Macaca fascicularis: one gene and its partners. The protein of the gene in region 1 interacts with the protein of each later gene in a pairwise test. Links are inferred from orthologs where the notes say so. Each region holds a gene or a part of one and is shown in the gene's direction. Other genes may lie near its edges.

Evidence for each region.
Region 2: the proteins of EHMT2 (region 1) and RD3 interact in binary tests that used the Homo sapiens proteins (3 or more experiments, as listed by UniProt). The two-hybrid records come from large-scale screens. The link is inferred for Macaca fascicularis from reciprocal best matches to the Homo sapiens genes EHMT2 and RD3.
Region 3: the proteins of EHMT2 (region 1) and MX2 interact in binary tests that used the Homo sapiens proteins (3 or more experiments, as listed by UniProt). The two-hybrid records come from large-scale screens. The link is inferred for Macaca fascicularis from reciprocal best matches to the Homo sapiens genes EHMT2 and MX2.

The regions. Positions count from the first base shown.
Region 1 is NC_088378.1:139,822,796-139,826,442, forward strand, and holds part of EHMT2 (histone-lysine N-methyltransferase EHMT2), read left to right. Parts: coding exon 1-1; intron 2-87; coding exon 88-323; intron 324-402; coding exon 403-585; intron 586-704; coding exon 705-787; intron 788-1,261; coding exon 1,262-1,368; intron 1,369-1,465; coding exon 1,466-1,588; intron 1,589-1,678; coding exon 1,679-1,780; intron 1,781-2,603; exon of another isoform or gene 2,604-2,861; intron 2,862-2,983; exon of another isoform or gene 2,984-3,104; coding exon 3,105-3,230; intron 3,231-3,321; coding exon 3,322-3,476; intron 3,477-3,561; coding exon 3,562-3,647. UniProt on the Homo sapiens protein: Histone methyltransferase that specifically mono- and dimethylates 'Lys-9' of histone H3 (H3K9me1 and H3K9me2, respectively) in euchromatin.
Region 2 is NC_088375.1:69,288,193-69,291,914, reverse strand, and holds the start of RD3 (protein RD3), read left to right. Parts: upstream 1-853; 5' UTR 854-918; coding exon 919-1,250; intron 1,251-1,583; exon of another isoform or gene 1,584-1,716; intron 1,717-3,560; coding exon 3,561-3,722.
Region 3 is NC_088377.1:5,602,825-5,606,471, reverse strand, and holds part of MX2 (interferon-induced GTP-binding protein Mx2), read left to right. Parts: intron 1-288; coding exon 289-367; intron 368-3,181; coding exon 3,182-3,304; intron 3,305-3,455; coding exon 3,456-3,597; intron 3,598-3,647.

The DNA.
Region 1 (3,647 bases):
GGTGAGTGACCAGTGGGGCAGACAGGTAGAATGCCCCATGGCAGACGGGGCCCCGGCAACCTGACCATGTCGTTTCCCTGCTCCCAGGGCACCTTCCTGGAATGCCACCCTGACTTCCGTGTGGCCCACCGCTTCCACAAGGCCTGTGTGTCTCAGCTGAATGGGATGGTCTTCTGTCCCCACTGTGGGGAGGATGCTTCTGAAGCTCAAGAAGTGACCATCCCCCGGGGTGATGGGGTGACCCCACCGGCTGGTGCTGCAGCTCCTGCACCCCCACCCCTGTCCCAGGATGCCCCCGGGAGAGCAGACACTTCTCAGCCCAGGTACTGGCCTCCCCCTTCTCTACTGTCTGTTCCCTGCCCCATCACTATTGTTCCTGGACATGAGCTCCTTCTTCCACAGCGCCCGGATGCGAGGGCATGGGGAGCCCCGGCGCCCACCCTGCGATCCCCTGGCTGACACCATCGACAGCTCAGGGCCCTCCCTGACCCTGCCCAATGGGGGCTGCCTTTCAGCCGTGGGGCTGCCACTGGGGCCAGGCCGGGAGGCCTTGGAAAAGGCCCTGGTCATCCAGGAGTCAGAGAGGTGAGTGGGGAGTTGTTCAGGCACAGTAACTGGGGCTGAGGCCAGAGGAGCAGTGTCAAGACTGATGCTGGAATCTGAGGAGCTCCCCTTCTCTCCCCACTCCCGTGCTCCCTTGGCAGGCGGAAGAAGCTCCGTTTCCACCCTCGGCAGTTGTACCTGTCCGTGAAGCAGGGCGAGCTGCAGAAGGTGATCCTGATGCTGTGTGAGTGCCACCTATTCCTTCAGCAGACCTTGACCAAGTTCCATGTATATACCAGGCACTGGGCACAGGGCCAGGAGTAGTCATGAAGGATATAGTCCTTGCCCTGAAGGACTTAGTGTGGTGGGGAAAAGACACACATAACCCGTGACGATGGGAACGGTGGTGACTCATAGGTGCTGGGTCCTGTTCTGAGTGCTTATACTTGTTAGCCTTGGCTTGCACAGGGAGGTTAGGGACGTTGCACAGTGCACAGCGGTACTGAGAAGCAAGGCAGGGTTTGAATTCAGGCAGAGCTGATGCCTTTGACTCCTTATTCTGATAAATGCCGTGGTGGAGGCAAGCCCAGAGAATGCCAGGAGGGGCCCTGACCCAACTTGGGGCTCTGAGAAGCCTTCCTGAAAGAAGTGCCACCTGCCCCCTAGCTTGCTTACCACTTGTCCCTCCCTCTCCCGGTGTGGCGGGCTCTCCCCGCAGTGGACAACCTGGACCCCAACTTCCAGAGCGACCAGCAGAGCAAGCGCACGCCCCTGCATGCAGCCGCCCAGAAGGGCTCCGTGGAGATCTGCCATGTGCTGCTGCAGGTCAGCACGGGCCCGGCCCCATGCCTCATTCACCAGGCCCTTAGGCCCCTCCCCTGCCCCATGCCTCCCTGGTGCCAGCCCTCCTGCCCCCTCACAGGCTGGAGCCAACATAAACGCAGTGGACAAACAGCAGCGGACGCCACTGATGGAGGCCGTGGTGAACAACCACCTGGAGGTGGCCCGTTACATGGTGCAGCGTGGTGGCTGTGTCTATAGCAAGGTGTGCATGCAGGCAGCAGGGCGTGGCCCCGGAGTCAGGGACCAGGTTTGGGGTGCCAGCCGGAGACTCATTTGCCCATGTCTCCCTCAGGAGGAGGACGGCTCCACCTGCCTCCACCACGCAGCCAAAATCGGGAACTTGGAGATGGTCAGTCTGCTGCTGAGCACAGGACAGGTGGACGTCAACGCCCAGGTCAGTGGCCCACCCAGCGCAGCTCCTCCGGCTCCCTGGTGCCTGGGTTCCTTGGCTCGGCCTCAGACTTTGGGCCCCCTTTCTACATCTGACCTCTGGCCCTTTCACTCTGCCTCAGGCCGCTTGTGTCTGTCCCCCTTGCTTTCTTCCTCATTTGTATTTCTCTTCATTCTTTTCTTTTTCTTGTTTCTTTCTCTTGATCAAGCTTCAGAATAATCAGTTCCTGCCTTCATCTCTGAAAGTGTCCAGTGAGGCTTTTTTAACTCTCAGGTTGTCATACATTGGATGTGTTTTCGTCATTTATTGGGATTCTTCTCAGTCTTTGAATTATTCCATCATTATCTAGGAGAAGCCCCTTCAAGAGGCCTCTGTGGCCGTGACATGACCCAGTGGCCTTTGAGAGCGTCCTGACCTTTCAGCACATTTCCTGCCCCTGACTCAGCATCCACCATTTCTCTAAGAAACTCTGCTTCCTTTATGGGAAACTTTTTTTTTCTTTTCTTTTTTTTTTTTTTTGAGATGGAGTCTTGCTCTGTTGCCCAGGCTGGAGTGCAATTGCGTGATCTTGGCTCACTGCAACCTCCACCTCCTGGGTTCAAGTGATTCTCTTGCCTCAGCCTCCTGAGTAGCTGGGATTATAGGCACCAGCCACCGTGCCCAGCTAATTTTTGTATTTTTAGTAGAGATGGATTTTCACCATATTGGCCAGGCTGATCTTGAACTCCTGACCTCATGATCCACCCACCTCGGCCTCCCAGCGTGCTGGGATTACAGGCGTGATCTGGCCACTGCGCCGGCCAGAAACATGTTTTAGAGAATAGTCTATGGACCTCGGAGTGTTTATTATTACTGGGTGGTCACTGCTTCTAGGACTTGTGAATGGGCAGACTGAGGAAATTTTTGTTTGTTTTTTGTTTTAAGAGACAGAGTCTTGCTGTGTCACCCAGGCTGAAGTACAGTAGCAATTCACAGACAGTCATAGTTCACTGCATTCTCGAAATCCTGGGCTCAAGCGACACTCCCATCTCAGTCACATGAGTAGCTGGGACTACAGGCACGCGCCTCCATGACCAGCTCCTGGCTGTATTTTTTGGAAAGAGAACAATTACTCACTTTACTTTCTCTCCGGCATCAGGCAGTAGGCACTACTAGTCCCATTTTTTAGATGAAGAAACTATGACCCAGAGACGTTAAGTGACTTACCCCGGGTCCCACAGCTCGTGAATGGTGGAGCTGGGATTCACACACACAGCCAATCTTGACCATTTGCAGCTTTGGTGAGCAGGCCCAGCCGCCCCCACCCTCACTCCCTTCCCACCCACAGGACAGTGGGGGGTGGACGCCCATCATCTGGGCTGCAGAGCACAAGCACATCGAGGTGATCCGCATGCTACTGACGCGGGGCGCCGACGTCACCCTCACTGACAACGTGAGTGAGAGTTTGGTTGAGGTAGGGCAGCCCCAGGCCCCTGAGCAAGGTGGAGGCTGGATTCAAGGGCCCAGCTGCCTGCACCTCATCTGTTCCCCTCCTATCTCCACAGGAGGAGAACATCTGCCTGCACTGGGCCTCCTTCACGGGCAGCGCCGCCATCGCCGAAGTCCTTCTGAATGCGCGCTGCGACCTCCATGCTGTCAACTACCATGGGGACACCCCCCTGCACATCGCAGCCCGGGAGAGCTACCATGACTGCGTGCTGTGAGCCCCTGCCCCGCCCTTGATGCCCCTGCCCCCACTTCTTGCAGCCTCAGACCCCACATTGGGCACCTTGTCCCCTCTTCAGGTTATTCCTGTCACGTGGGGCCAACCCTGAGCTGCGGAACAAGGAGGGGGACACAGCATGGGACCTGACTCCCGAGCGCTCCGACG
Region 2 (3,722 bases), on another chromosome or scaffold:
ACTCCTGACCTCAGGTGATCTTCCCGCCTTGACCTCCCAAAGTGTTGGGATTACAGGCGTGAGCCACCACGGCTGGCCAACCCCATAGAATTCTGTGTCTTTCGTCAATAGGCTGGAGGCATTTAAAAACTGAGGGTGTTTTCCTGGTACACTGACATAGGATGTATCTGTTCTGAGTGTGTGTGTGTGTATGTGAGTGTGTGAGTGTGTGTATGTGTTCCCCTTAAATCATAGGGAAAGCTTGTGCTCAGCCATAGTCCATATGTTTCCTGCTTTGTTGGGAGTAAGTGGGGATTCAGGAGGCCCTTTCTCTGGGCACAATCCTGGAGATGCTTTAAGGATCATAACCACAAGAGTCTCTTACTTTTATGTGATGCCTACAGTGTACAAAGTTTATTCACAGCTGCTTCTCACAACAGCCCTATGTTTTTTGTTTTTATTTTTGTTTTTGTTTTTGTTTTTTTGAAATGGAGTCTCGCTCTGTCGCCCAGGCTGGAGTGCAGTGGCACGATCTCGGCTCACTGCAAGCTCTGCCTCCCGGGTTCACGCCATTCTCCTGCCTCAGCCTCCAGGGTAGCTGGGACTACAGGTGCCCACCACCACACTTGGCTAATTTTTTGTATTTTTAGTAGAGATGGGGTTCACCGTGTTAGCCAGGATGGTCTTGACCTCCTGACCTCGTGATCCGCCGGCCTCAGCCTCCCAAAGTGCTGGGATTATAGGCGTGAGCCACCGCGCCCGGCACAACAGCCCTATCTTGTCTTACAGAATTATAAATGATTGCTCAGGGAAATTAAGCCACCTACTTGAGGCCACTCAGCTGTTAGGGCGGAGCAGGTCTTCTCCCCTGGGTCCCAGCTCTCCTCTCTCCCCCTTGGGTTCCCAGGTTCCCCACCCTAACAGAGGGGCCCAGGAAAGATGCACACCTGTCCTGTCTCAGCAGGGCCAGGGGCTATGTCTCTCATCTCATGGCTTCGGTGGAACGAGGCCCCATCCCGACTGTCCTCCAGGAGCCCTGCTGAGATGGTGCTGGAGACACTTATGATGGAGCTGACCGGGCAGATGCGAGAGGCTGAGAGGCAGCAGCGGGAGCGCAGCACTGCGGTCAGGAAGGTCTGCACCGGTGTGGACTACAGCTGGCTGGCCAGCACACCCCGGCCCACCTATGACCTCAGCCCCAGTGAGCGGCTGCAGCTGGAGGATGTCTGCGTTAAGATCCACCCATCCTATTGTGGGCCTGCCATCCTCAGGTGAGCACTGGGATGGGGATCCCTGCTGGGCTGCAGGCTCCAGGAAAGGTGGCTGCAGTGGCAGGGGCCTGAAGCCACCAGGACTAGAGCCAGGGAGCCTGGATGACCTAGTTACCTGTTAGAAGGAGCAAGAGGGGAAAAGGAATCTGAAAGAGACCATGAAACGCTGGGCTAGGGTTGGGGGTCCAGCAGGAGGCAGGATGCAAAAGGCTGCTCCTGGAGGCGTGTGAGTTTTGATTCAAGAGAACACAATACCCTTGAGTTTTCTCTTCTCCTTGCCCAGATTGTTATTGTCCTGGATTTTAACTTACCTGGCTTCTTTTCTTTCGTCAGTTTACCTTCAATATTACCTTCTTGGAGAAGTTTTCTCAGACATTTCTCCAAAATCAGATTCTTAATTATCCTAGCTTATGTTAGCTTTCATGCTAGTCTGCCCACAGATGAGTGTGTGTGTATGTGTGTGTGTGTGTATGAGAGTGTGTGTGAGAGTGTGTGTGAGAAAGTGTGTGTGTGTATGAGAGTGTGTGTGAGAGTGTGTGTGAGAAAGTGTGTGTGTATGAGAGTGTGTGAGTGTGTGTGTATGAGAGTGTGTGTGAGAGAGTGTGTGTGTGTGTATGAGAGTGTGTGTGTGTGAGTGTGTGAGTGTGAGAGAGAGTATGTGTGTGAGAGTGTGTGTGAGAGAGTGTGTGTGAGTGTGTATGAAAGTGTGTGTGAGAGTGTGAGTGTGTGTGTGAGCGTGTGTGTGTGTGTGAGTGTGTGTGAGAGAGTGTGTGTGAGAGTGTGTGAGAGAGTGTGTGAGTGTGTGTGAGTGTGTGTGTGAGTGTGTGAGTGTGTGTATGAAAGTGCGTGTGAGAGAGTGTGTGTGTGAGTGTGTGTGAGTGTGTGTGAGTGTGTGTGTGAGAGTGTGTGTGTGTGTGTGTGTGTGAGTGTGTGTGTGTGAGTGTGTGTGAGAGAGTGTGTGTGAGAGAGTGTGTAGGAGGGGTTCAGACAGAATTCTGGGGCACTGCACATTTAGAGCTTGGGTACAACTATGTTCCTTGAATTTAAATGTGATCCTACCGAAGCTGTGACCACATGGTCCTGTCTCAGAAGAATCAGTGCTGTTCTCAAAGAAGCATCGAGTAATTTCAAAATAACTCAAGTTCTTTATCTACATTTCTCTTTGTAAAGGAATATAAATCCACAATAAAACATCTTAACATTCCTGTTAGTCTCCCAAAATCTTCCCTCACCCATCCCTTTAACTAACATGCATTTATTGTACACCTTTTTCTTTGAAATTCTCTTTAAAAACTCCTCTCCTTCAGCCCCATTCACCTTCTTCAGCCCCGTCCACACTCCTTGGTTTCTGTAGAGCTTTTATCACCCCACCCCTTTTTTCCTCCGGGTGGAGAACCTTACCCTCCCCCAGCTTTCTGAATCTGGACTGCAGAAGCCTCCCAAAGCCTATCTATTCCAGAAGCACCTGGGGACAGGGGTGGGTCATGGGGTGGAGCTGCTGAAAAGGGCACCTGGGCTGGCAAATGAAACCTCAAAAGTGAGGGGGAAGACTGAGTGCACACAGGTCATGATTGTCCTGTCTCATTTCCGGTCTCATGTCACTGCTGAGAAGTCCTGACTCTCAATCTGGTGGAGGAAACCTGGTATTAAATAGACTTGCCAGCATTAACTCGTGAGCTCTAAGCAAAGATAGCCTAGGCAGAGTAAACAGCTTGGGAAATCACACAGGGCCTTGGGAGAACCTGGGACATGTTGGGGCCACAAGTGATTCTTCCCAGCTGATGTGCAGAGTCTTCCAGGGAAGTATCAGGGGACCCCTGTGCATGGCAAACAGCGCACCTGGAAGGAATAGCACGGGGGCAGTGACATAATCAGATATAGGTTTCAGAAAGATCATGCTGGCCAGGGGGTGGAGAAGAGACAGGAGCGGCCTAGCCAGAAGGCCTCCCATCAGTAAGGCTGCCACTGCAAAGGGCTCCCCTTAATGCTGTATCATCAACAACCTTAGGTAAGTGTCAGGATCTTTACATACCTTAGTTCATTATAGCTCACAAAAAGGCAGCTGTCATCTCAGATTACAGACGAGGAGGCTAAGGCCAATGGAGGCCAGAGGTGGCAGGGCTGAGATTTGAATTTAGGATTAGTTGAATCAGTAGCAACGTGGGGTGGTTCCTGATTCGCTTCAGGAGCAGGGTGGAGTGGACTAACTGGCCACGAGGATGCACGGGCAGCCCCTCGGGGTTAGACGCCCCGGGGTGCCAGGCCCGCTGTTGTGGATGAATGGCCCCAGCGCCCTCCCCTCCCCCCCAGGTTCCGGCAGCTGCTGGCGGAGCAGGAGCCCGAGGTGCAGGAGGTGTCCCAGATTTTCCGCTCGGTGCTGCAGGAGGTTCTGGAGAGGATGAAGCAGGAAGAGGAGGCCCACAAGCTGACGCGCCAGTGGAGCCTGCGGCCCCGCGGCAGCCTGGCCACCTT
Region 3 (3,647 bases), on another chromosome or scaffold:
CCGGGCAACTCAGTTAATCTCCATGAGGCTGGTTTGTTTTCCTGTAGCTAAGATGACCTACCTCATGAATTTGTGGGGATGATAGAAAGGGAGAAGGGAAGGAGGCTTCCTGGCCCACACTTGCTTGGGTACAGGCTGGTGGCAAGTGTCTTGCTCATGCACCACCTGGCTTTTCTGATGGCAAGTGTTGCCCCAGGGAGCTGGGGTCACCTACCACATACAAAGCCCGGTACTAGCAAGATGTTACACAAGTCCTTCCTGAATGCATGAGTGTCTGTCTCGTTTCAGAGTTCTGCTGGAGGAGGGGTCAGCCACGGTTCCCCGACTGGCAGAAAGACTTACCGCTGAACTCATCACGCACATCCAAGTGAGCCACGTGGGTTGGGTGACAAGTGATCAATACAGCATGCCCAAGTCACTCTCTTGCTCTGGAATTGGCTAAGATGCCCCACTGTTCTGTCCAAACAAGCAAACAAGTACCCTCTGAAAACTGTCTCACTCACCGTCATAGGCTCACAGGAAGAACTTCCAAACTGGGAAGCAACAAGTACATAGTGTTAAAACAAAGGGTTGAATTGGTCAGCAGAGGTGGGGAGGGGGAAGAGAAGGAAACAAATTGTAATACCAGTTTAGCAATATAAAAAGGACTGACCACTGAGCGAGCAAGTTGTCTTTTTTCAATATGTTGTTAATACTTCCTGGTAAAAAAAATTTTTTATTGCCAGACATGGTGGCTCATGCCTGTAATCCCAGCACTTTGGGAGGCTGAGGCCGGTGGATCACCTGAGGTCAGGAGTTCAAGACCAGCCTGACCAACATAGAGAAACTCCATCTCTACTAAAAATACAAAATTAGCTGGGCATGGCGGCACATGCCTGTAATCCCAGCTACTCAGGTGGCTGAGGCAGGAGAATCACTCGAACCCGGAAGGTGGAGGTTGCAGTGAGCCGAGATCGTGCCATTGCACTCCAGCCTGGGCAACAAGAGCAAAATTCTGTCTTAAAAAAAAAAAAAAAAAAAATTCTTGTAGCCTCAAACTTCTAAGAAATAATTGGTTTGTAAGAAACAAATCCATTTTTATGGATTCTCAAAAGCAGACAACTACAGACAAGGGACTCATGACATCATCAATTATAGAAAAACTTCGGTTTGGTGGTTATTGAGAAATTGAATATTTTTAATGCTTGCCTAAACCTTCACAAATGAGGCCAAGCAACATGGGAAGATTTAGGTTTACCCTTTGAGCAAAGATTATTCCAGATCCTAGGACTTGGCCCATGCTAAATTGTGTATTAAACAAAAGCAATGACTTACTTGAGCCAGGAAGCACATACTCAAAGAAAATTTGGTTGGAAGGAGCCAGTGGTTCTCCAACTTTAAGGTATACAAGAATTACCTGGAAAGTTTGTTACAATTTAGATTCTGCTGGGCACACTGGGCATGGTGGCTTACATATGTAATCCCAGCACTTTGGGAGGCTGAGGCGGGTGGGTCACCTGAGGTCAGGAGTTCGAGGCCAGCCTGGCCAACATGGTGAAACCCGGTCTCTACTAAAAATACAAAAATTAGCCAGCGTGGTGTTGTGCACCTGTAGTCCCAGCTACTTGGGAGGCTGAGCCAGGAGAATGGCTTGAGCCCAGAAGGTGGAGGTTGCAGTGATCTGAGATCACGCCACTGCACTCCAGCCTGGGCGACAAAGTGAGGCTCCGTCTCAAAAAAAAAAAAAATTTAGATTCCTGGGTCCCAGACCCAGAGTTTCTGACTTAGATGTAAGACCTGTGGATTTGCATTTCTTCCTGGGAACAAACTTTGAGAATCACTGATTCCAGTGGAATTCATGGAATTCACTAAGTTTGCAGAAGAGGTTTCTGAAAGCTATATCCCTGTCTAATTGAGAAAAACATCTGGTTTTTGCAAAAATAAAAATGTTGTATTTTTATAACTTTTTTCAACACAAACATTTTAATTTAAAATGTATAATATTTTAAATTAATTTTTAAATGTTAAATCGACTGAATTGTAACAATGACAATTTGAAATATCAGAAGGTAATACACTTTGCCTACAGATACAAACTGTCTCCCAAAAAAGAGCCTAGGAGACCTTATCAATTTCCTGGCATAACCTGTCTTGCCTTGGCATGCTAACCCACAAACCACCTCCAAGTCCCAGGGAGCTCCCCCTGCCCAGGGGCTGTAGCATCCTCGTCCAGCAGGGCAGGACCTGGGGTCACTGCTCCCCACGGTGTCTTCACCTGCAGTGTTTATGAGCAGGGTTGGGGAGTTGGTAGGCAGGTTGCTATTGGCCACTGCTGCTCACTAGGTCTGTGAAGATAGCAAGTAATTGGATTCTCTGAGCTTTAGTTTCTTCTCTGACAAAAAACTGGCAGCAGCAGACGACAGTGTGGGGATTAAATGAGGTGTGGAGTGTGTCACCAACCCCAAGACACAGTGTTTTTCAGTTTATAACACTCACACTGTCACCAAAAATCCCATTTTACTAAGACATTGCACATTATATTCAAGTGTTCTTATTCTGGAATTACAAGGCACCAAGCCAAATCAAACAACCACCACAAAACAAAAGTAAAAACTGTCCACCACCCGATTCCTCACCACTCCAATTGCACAGCAGAATGCAAAATTCCGAGCCAAGCCGTCCAAGCTGTGGGACATGCCTGTTGCATGCAAAACTCTCTTTGGGCTCCTTGGCTGGTTTCCATCTCACTGAGATTCACAAAATAACAAAAATTCCAGATCTTCCTGCATGCTTTAAAGGGTTCCTACCCATATACCAAAGAAATATGTTGGCCAATCTCTTTTTTTTTTTTTTTTTTTTTGAGAAGGAGTCTCGCTCTGTCGCCCAGGCTGGAGTGCAGTGGCCGGATCTCAGCTCACTGCAAGCTCCGCCTCCCGGGTTCCCGCCATTCTCCTGCCTCAGCCTCCCAAGTAGCTGGGACTACAGGCGCCCACCACCTCGCCCGGCTAGTTTTTTTTTTTTGTAGTTTTAGTAGAGACGGGGTTTCACTGTGTTCGCCAGGATGGTCTCGATCTCCTGACCTCGTGATCCACCCGTCTCGGCCTCCCAAAGTGCTGGGATTACAGGCTTGAGCCACCGCGCCCGGCCTATGTTGGCCAATCTCTTAAGCCATAGTTTGATTGTTTGCAATTGTTTTCTTTAGAAATCGCTCCCGTTGTTAGAAGAACAAATAAGGGAGAGCCACCAGAAGGCGACCGAGGAGCTGCGGCGTTGCGGTGCTGACATCCCCAGCCAGGATGCCGACAAGATGTTCTTTCTGATTGAGGTGAGGACTTCCGCGGGCCTCCACGTGACACTGTGTCCTTCCCCCTCCTCACCCATGAGATGAGGCATGTGGGTGGACATCTCCTTACAACGCCGGTCCCAGTTCTTTCATATGATTTCAGCACAGACTGTTGACTTTATATCATTTTCAGAAAATCAAGATGTTTAATCAGGACATCGAAAAGTTAATAGAAGGAGAAGAAGTTGTAAGGGAGAACGAGACCCGTTTATACAACAAAATCAGAGAGGATTTTAAAAACTGGATAGGCATACTTGCAACTAATACCCAAAAAGGTAAGTTCTGGGCAGGGCTGCCCGCAAAACAGGGTGGTATTTACCTAGAC